2 linked regions of the Caenorhabditis elegans genome follow. Changing the gene in region 1 together with any one later gene gives a genetic interaction. Each region holds a gene or a part of one and is shown on either strand. Other genes may lie near its edges.

Region 1 (6,410 bases):
CCAATGCATGCAATTTGAAGTGGAAGTGGAAGGAAATATTCTTTCGGTGGACGTTCTGTGGTGAGCCACGTGGAGATGTCGTCGAGCTGGAAATTTGGATTTTTTTTTATTTCAGATAGTGTGATTTGCAGAGCGCTGTAAATTATCGTTTTGAAGTTTATGTGGAGAACTTGAAACAGTAGACATTTTGAGGCGTTTTCTGTTTTCCAATTTTTGTTGTAATCGATTTTTAAACCTTGAAAGTTGATTGAAAATTTGTATGTTGTTACGTTCGGAAATCTTCAAGTGATTTGAACAATTTCCACAGTTTTAAAATAACCATTTAAGAAACTGGAAAACTAATCAAATTGCTGATTTAAAAAATTTTCGTTTCACTACAATTACATAATTAAGCAGATTTTGTAAACATTGATTTGAAAAGTTCATTTGGAAAACTGCTACTTTTTGTCAGCCTGCAAAATTTGCAAAAGTGTAACAATAGGATCCGTCTCCAAGTCCCGTATATAACGTTCACAAATTTTATGCAAAATATGAAACAGTAATAAATTATGCCAAAAATTTAGCGCGAAGTTCAAATTTCCAGTCAAAACTTATTTTCAAAACATGAACTACAACGAACCGGATAAATTTCCCCGAGCGGCGGTGATCCTGGTGCAACCTTCGGTTTCACACACATTTTATAGGCATGAACCATTTCTGGAAGAAGCTTCAAAGTCAAATGAAACGTGGCTTTATGGTTGAAGTGCACTTTGAAATGGTTCAGCGCGTCGATGACGTAGGCTGGCTCCGAGCAGTTATTCGTAAATGTCCAGATGATTTGGTGGATTTTGTCCAAATGATTTCCATAGATTACCACTTTGAACTCTTCTTCTGGAGTTACTGAACAGACGCCGTGTTTGCTCAAAAATTTTAGTTTTATAAAACCATGAAATTTCCTTAGATTTTTGGGTCCCGCCACGAAACAAAAAAATACATTGGTTTGAAAAAATTGGACCCTTTGATAAAATTTGCGGGAGAGGAGAACTTTGAATTTTTTGAGACCATTTTTACATGGTCAGAAAAGATGAAATACTCTGCAACGGTTGTTAATGTTGAAATAATTTTTTTCTAAAAATTTGACAGTACCAAACATCCTTAATTATCATGAAGAGTTGCGCATGAAATGTTCGCATACAAACTAGGAGCTTTTCAGTCAAATTTGAAATAAGAAAAAATTCAGCTCAACTCAAAATAGTTTCAAACTGTTTTCTTGATCAACGTCCGATTATTGTTTCTATTTGTGTCCCGGGTACAGTTTAACAGTTGATTATCTCAATTTGAATGGATTTAACAAACATTTGCCCAAAACAATTTAAGAAAAAAAAATTTTTGACACAGAAAAAAAATTCGAAAATAACTAGTTTTTCGTAAGATTACAGGAATTAACAAGATGTACAAATGAATAACAGAATTACTGTTCTGTACAACAACTTTCTACGCAAACAGAACAATAACCAAGCTATCTGTTTTATGATAAATTATTTTTTATTAAAAATCTTTCACGGCCACCTGGCAAGATTGTTTTAAAAACTCACTCATAACCAAACGGATCGTCAGCTGGAAGTTCGACTCTCATTCCAAAAATCGTTGGAATTTTCGAGCTCTGACTTGTGTTGTTGTTGCTCGCTGATTGGGTCTGAAAATTGAAAGTCAAGAATTGCAGAAACTCGAATAACAGTTTTTTGGCAGTCGTCAGTTTCGAAATTTTTAACCAAAAAAATCCACTGTTTCAACTAATTTTTTGAGCCAACATATAGCGTTTATTTAGTTAAAAGATTTAGGGGCCAAAATTATTGTAAAAGTCCAAAATTTTGGTAAATTACCAAAATGTTGACTGAAAATTTTGAGAAATCAAAACTTTCGGAATGATTTATCATTTTATTCGGTTATTTGAGACTCCAATGCGCAACCAATTTTTGATTTTAATTTTAAAAAATACACTGCTTCCACAATTGCTTATTAGTGAACATTAAAAAGTTGCATTGATAAAATAGCTGTAGAAAAGTTTTATTATATACAACTAAAAACAATGCATTCAACGGTAATGGAATTGCTGGACAATTAACTGTTGTTTTGTTCTAGGCTGTTGGAAACGGTAAATAATTTTTATAGCAGTTTATTTTTCGATTTCAGGAAAGAAGACACTGTGAAAAGTTTGTTTGTCTCGGAAATCCAATTTGTTCCAGACAATTTAGGATGTCGATTTTTTAAATGAAAATTTGGAATGTGAAATTTTCGGTGGCCCAAAAATCCACTGTTTCAACAATTTATATGAGCTCAAGATTAGTTAAAACAATGTTCGAAACCGTAAAATTTGGTTTTCCATTTTGATTGAATCTATTACATTTTTCAAGAAAATTTTAATTGTCTGTTACTGTGTTTACAAGACAAATATGTTAATTTTTTAAACTAAATCTCATATTTTAATTCAGACAGCGTTAGTAGGTGCATTGCTGACATGGTAGGTCCAGCACCTACCAGCCGCCTAATGGCGGTCTCATTGAGGCATGAAGGTAGGACTTATATTTTTGTTTGTGTTTTTTTCGCAAAAAACATTACTTATTAATGAATCACCCAACTTGTAACAGATTTAAAATAAATAAAAAACATTCACTGTTTCAGAAAAAATTTAAGTTCCAGTAAAAACCAAACTTTTGTTTATTGTCCTTATTCCACCGAAAAAACTCACCGGAACTGTAGAATTGTCCGCAGCAGCCGTTGTCGCCGAATCCAATATCGCCGTCACCGTGGTCACCTCATCGTCGACTCCATTCTGAGCAGCTGTCACGTTGCATTGACCTAATATGAAGAGCGAGAGAGTGAGGAGACGCAGACATGACGCAGACATTCACTGGTGACTCGTATAAGGCGGTGAGTTGGGGGATAATCTGAAAATTACGAAAATTCAAAAGATTAAGGTTTGAAGATTGAGAGAGAGAATATGAAGAGTCATTGAAACAGAATATAAAAAGTAGCCGCGAAAAAATTGGTGACCACGAAAATTTTGTACAGGGGCCCCTGTACAAAATTTTTCCTGCAGGGGGCTATGGAGTTGATGAAAATATACTAAATTTTTCACATGGCCGAGAAACACAATTTGGTAGCCGAGTTTTTCTATTTTCTCTGCCACTTCCATTAGTTACTGGGAGTTTTTGAACATTTTCAATGACCTGCGAATAGGAGAAATGATACTCTCTAAAAATATGATGGAAGTCAGGCAATTTTTTATTTTCAGTAAAAAAACTAAACTTGAAACAGCATAATTTTTTGCTCAAATTTTACGATTTTTTTTTATTTTCTTTTATTTTGAGGAAGAGGATTCGAAAGTTAAATTGAGTAATTTAAAATTTTACATTTGACATTATTTGACTTTTACATTGAAAAGCCCTCATAAAAAACGTTTATGGATATATCCGGATAACAGAAATTTGAAACATACGAAAAAATATTCAAAAAATGGAACGTATGATATAAAGGAAAAAATGCACTGTTGCATAAAAAATTATGTCTACCCAAAAATTAGATAGTTGTGAAGTTTTTCAGCAAAAAAACTAATTTGAAAAATTTTAATTTTTAACTTCAAAAACTACTGTTTCAGTCACTGTTTTTGAAGCGGAAGTCATTGAATAAATGTTAATGCTTCTCTAACTGTAATAACTGTAATATAATTTCCAAAAAAGAAACTACATGTGAAACAGAGTTTTCATTTTTTAATTTTGAAAAATAAATATTTATTTTTTAAAATACAGATTATTGTTGAATAATATTCAAACGGCTCCATATTGAAATTTTTCAATCAAAATAGTAGTGAAACTGCATATGTTTTATAACTAACTCAGTTTTGAAACAGTATTTTTATAACTTTGAAAAATTGTTTCACACAGTTTGTTTCACAAGTGGATAAATCAAAAAAAATGTTCATCGAGAAATAACATTTACCTAATTATTTGTTTCATATTCTAACGCGGAATATGATTTAAAAAATAAAAACTAAATAATGGTTTAACATAGAAATTCAATTTTCTATACACATTTTGACTTACACACTCACATAGGGTGTACTTTCTGCCGCCTCCGCCGCATGACTTATTATTAAATGATTGTAAATATGATGAATTCCGAGTTCTTTGTGCTGGTCAAACAAGGAGGGAGCCTATATATGAGGGAGATTACCTATTGACCGGTCAATTTTTGAAACTTTTTTTGAAACTATGTTGAAAAGGGAAAAAAAGTTTTATTGAACAATTTGTAAATTAAAAAAAAATTTATAGCTTCAATCAATCAAGAATGTATATAATTACACTGAAGTTATTTTTTTTTTAGCAAAAACAGTGTTTTCAGAGTATTAAAGCAACTTCAAGCCAACATTTCAATGATTTTGTACCAATATTTAACTGTTTTGACTTTGTTTACAACGTTGAAATCGACGTGTAATTTTTTTTTTATTTAGAAAATATTTTTAAAAAATGTTTAGAAATACACAAAATTGTTTTTAAAGAAAAACGTTCAAAAAATGTTCTCCCAGACCAAATTACTATTTTGACGGATCAGAAAGATGCGCCCAAATCCAAGAAGTATTAGTTATTGTAGAATTTGTGAAACAGAGAAGAAAAACATTTTTGTGTCTGCCTTGTTGTGGGAACACTACAGTTTGAAAAAAGCGTTTTTTTTTTCAAAATCAAAATTTAGAACTTTTTTCTTTCAAAAAAATGTTCAAAAAAAATCACAGTGTTTGCGTGAAGCTGAAAAAGTAAAATCAAAACAGTTTTTCTTCCAAAATAAAATAAATATTTCAAACATTTCAGCAATAACCAGTGAAGCAAATTTCCGGGGGTTACTGGTTCATAAGACACGGATTTCTTAGTGAAAATGATGTAAATATTAAAAAAAAAATTTCACAAAATTTTACTGTTTCATATTTTTTTATTTAAAAAATTAAAATATATAATTATGTAATCATTTCTTATTTTAGAATTGCATAAACTCCAAAAGAAACAAAAAATTTTAAATGTTAATAAAGTTGTAAAAAACATTTTCTAAGTTTTGAAACCATAACGAATTGTTTCCAATTTTCTTTTAGCATTATAATTTTGAAAACTCGAAAAAATGTGTGTTTTTTTGTTGAAATAATCAAAAATTGTTTCACTTCTTCTACATTTTTTTAACTTTTAAATTCAAATTGATCAATACATTGATGTTGGCACATTAAAAACGGCTCGACTGAATATTTAAGTTTTGAACTCTTTTCTTCATGTTGTCGTTGAAACAGGAAATAAGAAACTGGAAAACGCTTTGCACCGCCCGCAAATGCAATTTCAGGTTCATATTTTTCCTAATCTTTTAATTATCGACTTACATTGCTAATCAAGACCTCTAATCTGATAAAAAACATTGAAAAAGGGTATAACGTTGGGCTAAAAAATAAATATAAAAAACATTGAAACTTATGAAAAAATCCAAAAAAAAAGTAAATGGAGAAAGTCCTTGTCGTATCATATTACCGAACGTATTACGCTTGAGAATGGCAAAAAAGAAGACGAGAGAGGGGAGACGCAGGATGAGAAAGATATTAAGATTGGAATTGACACGATGGGGGGAGAAAATGGGGGAAGCATCTTTGAGGTCAGTGGTCAACGATTTATTGAGAAAAATAATAGTTTCGAAAGAGAGATTTCTAAAGCAGGCATTTATATTCTGTGAAATGATCTTTCTTTTTTAATAAATAGTAGGTTTACATTGATGTTGGCACATCAAAAACGGCTCGGCTGAATATTTAAGTTTTGAACTCTTTTCTTCATGTTGTCGTTGAAACAGGAAATTTTAGAAATTACTGTAAAAGAGGATGAAAAAACAAAGGAAACGAAAAATAAGAGTTACAAATGAATAGTTTTGGTTGAACCTGTGGAATTGAGAATTCATAATACACCCAAAGTTAGACTTAAACAAAATTGACAAGTGCATCAACACATAGCTTCCATAGAATTGGTCAAGTTTTAGAAAAAATAAATGAGCGAAACAATAATTCAAAAACTTGTTCACATCAAGACTACAGCATGAATTTCCAATAGATTTTCTTCATAGAACAGAATATACGTTTTTCTTGGAAATTTCAAAAGTAGTTGAAACATTACTTTTTTGTATAAACGAATCAGTTCAAAACATTTTTCAAACATGCGAAAAGGGATCTTGTTACAAAAAATTCAAAAAAATTGTATACAGTTTCAGGTGGTTAACTTTAACAAAAATAATTTCAGAAATATAATTTAAAACGAAGTTTAGGAGAAAAATAATCGATTGTGCAAAATTTTAACTGAGCAGAGGCAATTTACGAAAAACATGTTTAGTATCTTTTCTAAAAAAAATTTAAGAGA
Region 2 (6,410 bases), on another chromosome or scaffold:
TACACGTCTTCCAATTTCTGGTCTTTTTGAAAATCTTCCTTCATACATCCCAGAAGGAATACCTATGACTATAATCTACTTTCTCTCGTATTACTTGATCTATGTGAACTTTTATTCAATAACATTAATATGCATCAATCGAATGACTTCTGTACTTTTCCCGTATTACTGTAATTCGGTGAGCCTTCCCATCCGAAAAATATGAATCTCCTAAAAAATTAAAGTTTTGGCAAAAGAACGTCCGCAGTGCAATCGCACTTGTCTACATTCTTCCATTAATTACTACATGGCACTTAGTCACCTATGACGCTTATTTCTTACCACTATACGAAAATCGATCCAATTATCAAATGGTATACAGAGTGAAACTGTTGATAGGATTTTTGGTATGGTTTCCACCAAACACAAAATATGAAAATCAATAAAATTACAGCCTAGAAACAGTACGGCGCTGTGTTTTGTGTCGATTCTTCTCGCCGTAATATGTGTTGCAGCGAATTTCACAACAATTGTTAAGTACAAAACGACAATTCAAACAGTAAAAACGGCTAGTGGTACTCAGAACGAAGTTAGTTTGAATAATATTATATTAGAAGCATAATCAATTTTAAGTTTCATCGAAAAAGAACACGACGAGTAGAAATTGCAATGTTTTCTATAGCGTTAGTGGTATGTTTTTCACTGGTACTGCAGGCTTTATTACAGGTAAGGAAATAATGAATTATTGGAGTATTTACTTTTTTAAAAATTTTTTATAGGCTCTGATAATGATCTACACTGGTACTTCGTCATTCATTCGTGAAACATGTCAAGATCTACGTGCATTCGCACTGGATATTTCCATATGTTGCCCACCTTGGATAATGTATTACACTACAGTACACTCGCATAAGACTACAATAACAAGTAATTCCATATCCGGAGTTGGTATTCCAACACGATCAAATGTTGTTGTAATGAAATAAAGCAATTTGAAACAACTCACATTATATTGACTGAAAAATCCAAAATATCGAAGAACTCCGACATATACCAGCAAAGCTCCCATTCCGAGGAAAATCGAAGTTAGCGTGAAGAGGGAATTGTCGAAATCCTGAAAAGAAAGCAATAATCTTAGTTTTATGCAAGAATTAATGGAAAATAATTTTCTAATCAATACAGAGGGGCAATTTGGTTTCGATAAATCCCGGGATGAAAAGTTGATGGAAACAATGGGACGGACAGATACAGAAAGGAAGTTATTGGAAATATAAATTTTTACTCACATTTCTTGTAGTAAAAGTATTTTTGTTGAACTAAATTTAATATATTTTATGTTTGAGTATTGGAGGGAATTTTTCATTTGAATTAAACTTAAATTTTTATAAAAATTACCTGAAACTCGATGGATATTTTTGCAACAGTTCCAATGATAATAAGCGCATCGTTGACCACAATCATCACATACCACAAATTCAGAAAATCGAGTTGATCGGTAACGGTGATCTTATTTTTGAGTACATTCTCAAAATAGTCGCTTGTTTTGATTTGAAGTAGATGGGCTTTGATGAGGGCTCGGCAGCAGAGAATCAGTGATAGAATGCAAAGAATGAGAACGAAAATATCGGTTCCGCCGATTAAAAGTGTGTCAAATGACCATCCAACACCTGAAACTTGACCTAACTCGAGATTGATTGAATTTTTATATTTTGATATTTTAATATTACAAAATTCATTTTTATTTAAACACAGAAGTACACCTAGAAGTTAAATATTTCAAGTTAATTGGGAAATTTTTGAATACCTAAAATCTAAATGTTACTCTCAAGAAGAACTTTTTTAGGCAAATAAAGTTATGTAGATTTTAACACGAAGTTTCAGAAAGACTTTTATAAAAGATTTGAAGTTATATTTAATAGCATCCCATTTGATGATTCTTCACCATTAATTATTGGAATTCTATGTTAATTGGGTAATTTTCGATTACATAATCTATAATTTTTACTAGCTTTACTTTGAAAATTTGAAAAAAGTGAAGTGTTCACCTTTGATGATCCTTCCATTACAAACATTCACATAAGAAACCACAGTTGATAGAGTGACATGAACCTGTCCTGTATGCCTTGAATTATCAAATTTGATAGAAACTGATATCTTATAGCATTCTGGTTTCTGATCTCCGGCTGTTGGTGAATAATGAATTGTTCGTAGTCGAAATTTGAATTGGACCGTCGATATCTTGAGCGCGTCTTCTGGGAGAAATGTGATTCCACGAGTGGCGAGAATATCTCGAACAGCATCATCGGATTGTCCGATTTGGAAGACTTCCGTTTCTGTTAGATTCAGACGTTTCGTGTCTAGAAATAAACTATTTTTATTTCATAATAGTATGTTTATATACCTTTCACTTCACGAATGTCGAAATTATAAGTGTTATTGTTCACTGTTACGTTGGAAATTCGATCGATAAGAACTTCAATAGGTGGAATAGATTCAAAACTAATTTGAGCGCCAAGATTTCCAGATGGATGACTTACAACGTCATAGGAAAATGAAGCAAATGAATCATTGCGAATTGAATAATACTGAAACAATATTGATCATTTTACAAGATAGTTCTCCAAAGCGACTTACAGAATTAATCAAAAAGCTCAAATGCTCGGATAATCCTTGATCATCATAAACCGAATATCTTCCTTCAGCTGGTGGATATTGTAATGCATCTCTGTCGTCATTCCATTCTTTTAAAAATCGATGTCTCATAACTGTTGTGGTGTCTTCGAGAAAATCAACATGAGACATGCGCATTTCCGCGAATAAAATTAATTGCATGGTAACGAAAACTATTTTGAGCACTTGTAGAACCAACTTATAGGGCAGTTGATGTCTGACTTTCCATTTCTCCATTGGATTCATAAAAAAGAATTGGAGATGACGGCGAAGACGTTCGCCGGTTTCTCTTTCGTGGTGCGGAAGATCTTCCATTATTTCTTGAAAATTTATTGTTGGCCTTCGAGAAGCATTTGAAGAAGCATTCGAAGCATTATCGTTGAAGTCTGAACGATCAGTTGTGCTCCGGCGAGACATCTGAAATCATGAAATATTAAATAACGTTGTATTAATGAAAAATTGATTTCGATGCGAGTGGCGGTTAATATAAGCGTACAAAATATGAATTCTAATTTTTAAAAAATATATATTTTTATGATTAACATGCTATTTATAAAAAACAAAAACAAATAATTGTTTGAACAATTAAAAAATAATTTTCCGAGACCAACGCCCGCGTAAATCCTACTAGTGAGGTACACCGCGCGGTGTCTTTGCGTACCATGCACAATATCTGACGCCGGTCAATCTTATGGTATTTATTTTCTCTTTAAAAAACGAAGAACTAAAAAGAAATACTCACCTAAAGTCCAAAATTATCAGAAATTATCGTTATCAGTCAATCAAAAATTGGTTAAGACCATGCAAACATGCAATTTTGCAGTTTTCAACCCTTAAAACAATACATTTATTATCTCACCGATTCGAGGGGAATTTGCTCTAACCGCATCGATCTCGAAGCTTGGCTTCTGAATATTCTACTCATCTTTCAAGAAAGCTTAGAGGTGTTATTTAGAGCCGATGTAAATGGCGAACATGGGATAGATAAAAGAGCATTTGAGAGAGAGAAGCGCAGGGAAGCTAGAGACACGTCAATTTGTTTTTTTCTGTGTTGGGTTTTTTTTTCCTTCCGTAGATAAATAGCGGTTGGAATCTATACAAAATTGAGCATGACTTTTGAAAGGTGCACACAAAGAAAATAAAAAGCGTAGTACTTTCAGTAAAGAGAAATTGGAAAATTTTTTGAGGGCACATGTACATAGTATTTTGCAATGACGTTAATATGGATAAACTCGGAGAGAATTATAAATTCAGAAATTTGCATAGAATGACGCACATTTTAAAAGTGAAATTGCAGGTTATAAAGTTGTAGTTAAAAAAGTTTGAGTTATTACCCAGTTGCGAAAGATTTCAATTTATTACAAAAATTTCGGGCTGGTTCACAGCGCGAACATTTTCAAATCGTAGCCGCCGCAAAAAAGGTATGCACCTTTAACAACCACAGTAAACCATTGAAATTTTTCTTTGAATTTTTAGTCATATTCATATTCTGTCGTATAATTTTATCTGTTTCTTTTTAGATACAAATAGTGAGAAAAGGAAGAGCACAACTAACAAACGGGCAATGGATTACTGTCGTTTTTTGAAGGCGCAGTGAGACAGTAGGTACCGTTTTTGAAAGTTTACAGAAGGCAACGTTTGACAACTACTTCAATTTTTGTTCTTTTTTTTTGGTCGTACCCCAAATATCGAAAAAAGTCTCTGCAATTTTTAAATTTCCTGTGATTTCAATAAAATATTAAATTCTGAATTTCTATTTATTGAACTTCGATATCAAAATTCCTCTTGCCACACACAAATTTTTAAAATCTAATACGTTTCCATGTCTGCAACTATCGAAAACACCTCCACAATATTCAGTTCATCATCATTTTTTGTTTGGTTGACTGGCTTCCGATCGCTCTTTTCCTTTTTTGTTCTTTTCCCACGCCTTCTTTTTCTTCATCTCTGGCGTACTCTCTCGATGTCAAATTTTTGTTAAAGTGAAAGTTTTTGGCAACTATAGTTTTTACAACATATTCATTCATTTGTAGTTTTGATATTTTTTTATTTATTTTTGTTTCTAATAAATTTTTCATCCGTGAAAAAACTCGGTTAATCGAAACATTTCTTGAAAATTCAGAAAAATGGAATTCATGAAACTCGCAATCGAAGAAGCCAAGAAAGGAATGGAGAAGGGAGACGGTGGACCATTTGGAGCTGTAATTGTCAAGGATGGGAAGGTAATCGGTAGTGGGCATAACATGGTTTTAGTCACCAAGGATCCAACAGCACACGCCGAAGTTACAGCCATCAGAAATACTTGTAAGAATGTCGGTAAGTATTCCTTTCGTTTTTAACTTTAGTAAAGGAAACAAAATTAGTTTCTTGAATCCAAAATTTCGAAAATAATTTATAATTTTTTACAATTGTTTTTTATTTAGTAAATTCCTTACAAGATATCACTGTTTGGACATCACTTACTGCTTTGATCTTCAGTGTTTGGTTTTTGACTTTTTTGATTGCCTATAATTTGGTTCACTGTACTTTTTAATTTAATTTAGGTAAGAAGTTACTTCCTGGATTCCATGCAAGCCTTTACTGAAATACTAATTATTAGGGGTTTTGTGAGAATTTGAGATCTGCTAAAAGATCAGAAGCGTCTTAATTTATTTTCCCTATTTATCCTATCTACTGTTATATAATTATATTCAAATTGGCCATATATCTATTATTTATCCAGACAACTTTGATCTATCCGGTTGTCAACTCTACACTTCCTGCTATCCATGTCCAATGTGTATGGGAGCTGCTCTCTGGTCTCGTGTCGATGCAATTTACTACGGTGCCACGTCACAAGACGCCGCGAATATCGGATTTGGAGATCATGAGTTCCATGAGTTCCTTCAAAACCCAAAATCGGATGATAAACGAAAGTTGGAACAATTCAAGGTGGACAACTACTTAGAGCCATTCCAACTTTGGTCAAAGAAGGATAACAAAGAACTTTATTAAATATAAACAAATTCTCTGGTTTTTGTCATTTGTTGGTTGCAAAAAAGTAATGCATTATAAATAAACGTATAGGAGTGTGAGCATATGGGAGCAGCAAATATGAATAATTGATTACAGGAAAAAAGACGAAGGTTGGGAGAATGTAGATGACGTTTGTATTTGAAGGTTTTAATTGACTTGTAATTTGCTTATCAAAAACTAAAATTTATACAAAAATGTAAATATCTAGTTACTTTTACTAGGCCTTTCAAATAAAAACAGAATCTTGGAAAAAGTTTGCAATGTCCCATAACATCTTGCATATAAGACTAATAGAGTAAATACGGTATTTCAAATTTGGAAAGCATGAGTTCGAATAGATAATTTTAAATCGTAAGAAAATAATGTTTTCAGAAAATTTTGTAGAGCACTTTTCTTCCATTATTGTTGCACCGCATTGCTCAACTCTTTTTTAAACTTTTCTTCAATTTAAGCAAAAGTTATTTTTCTTTGCCGCGTTTTTCTAGTGGATACGATGGATCATATACCTTTTTTATTTTGTTTTCAGGGTTCACATCGGGAACATATTCTCAAATACCCTGATCACAATTTATGTTTTGGTCTCGGACCCGTCACCCAAGTCATCATCTCTATTTCCTCGTGTTTTTGTTTGAATTGTGACAAGTGAAGTGTTGGGTCTTCTTGCATTTAAACATCAACGAGCATTGAATGAATTGGTGATGATGACGATGTCTGGATTATTATACCAAAATGTCAGATTAATCATG

Evidence for each region. A genetic interaction does not mean that the proteins touch.
Region 2: of cnnm-1 (region 1) and cup-5, changing one suppresses a phenotype caused by changing the other (phenotypic suppression), as found in Caenorhabditis elegans (one study listed by BioGRID).

The regions. Positions count from the first base shown.
Region 1 is NC_003282.8:17,203,919-17,210,328, forward strand, and holds the start of cnnm-1 (Metal transporter cnnm-1), read right to left. Parts: upstream 2,928-6,410; 5' UTR 2,888-2,927; coding exon 2,729-2,887; intron 2,719-2,728; exon of another isoform or gene 2,698-2,718; intron 2,360-2,697; exon of another isoform or gene 2,339-2,359; intron 2,302-2,338; exon of another isoform or gene 2,281-2,301; intron 2,090-2,280; exon of another isoform or gene 2,069-2,089; intron 2,047-2,068; exon of another isoform or gene 2,026-2,046; intron 1,999-2,025; exon of another isoform or gene 1,978-1,998; intron 1,830-1,977; exon of another isoform or gene 1,809-1,829; intron 1,676-1,808; coding exon 1,575-1,675; intron 1,188-1,574; exon of another isoform or gene 1,167-1,187; intron 1,163-1,166; exon of another isoform or gene 1,142-1,162; intron 900-1,141; coding exon 620-899; intron 495-619; exon of another isoform or gene 474-494; intron 434-473; exon of another isoform or gene 413-433; intron 133-412; exon of another isoform or gene 112-132; intron 87-111; coding exon 1-86. UniProt on the Caenorhabditis elegans protein: Probable metal transporter. Probably acts redundantly with the other metal transport proteins cnnm-2, cnnm-3, cnnm-4 and cnnm-5 to regulate Mg(2+) homeostasis. Promotes postembryonic gonad development by regulating Mg(2+) levels, probably via AMPK signaling.
Region 2 is NC_003281.10:7,581,345-7,587,754, reverse strand, and holds the start of cup-5 (Polycystin cation channel PKD1/PKD2 domain-containing protein), read right to left. Parts: upstream 3,073-6,410; 5' UTR 3,067-3,072; coding exon 2,614-3,066; intron 2,565-2,613; coding exon 2,381-2,564; intron 2,337-2,380; coding exon 2,025-2,336; intron 1,659-2,024; coding exon 1,375-1,658; intron 1,296-1,374; coding exon of another isoform or gene 1,266-1,295; intron 1,094-1,265; coding exon 986-1,093; exon of another isoform or gene 966-985; coding exon of another isoform or gene 759-965; intron 706-758; coding exon of another isoform or gene 613-705; intron 569-612; coding exon of another isoform or gene 434-568; intron 387-433; coding exon of another isoform or gene 225-386; intron 179-224; coding exon of another isoform or gene 1-178. Other genes in the region: R13A5.15 (Serpentine receptor class gamma), read left to right, coding at 1-178, 225-386, 434-568, 613-705, 759-965; gda-2 (CMP/dCMP-type deaminase domain-containing protein), read left to right, coding at 4,776-4,965, 5,372-5,643.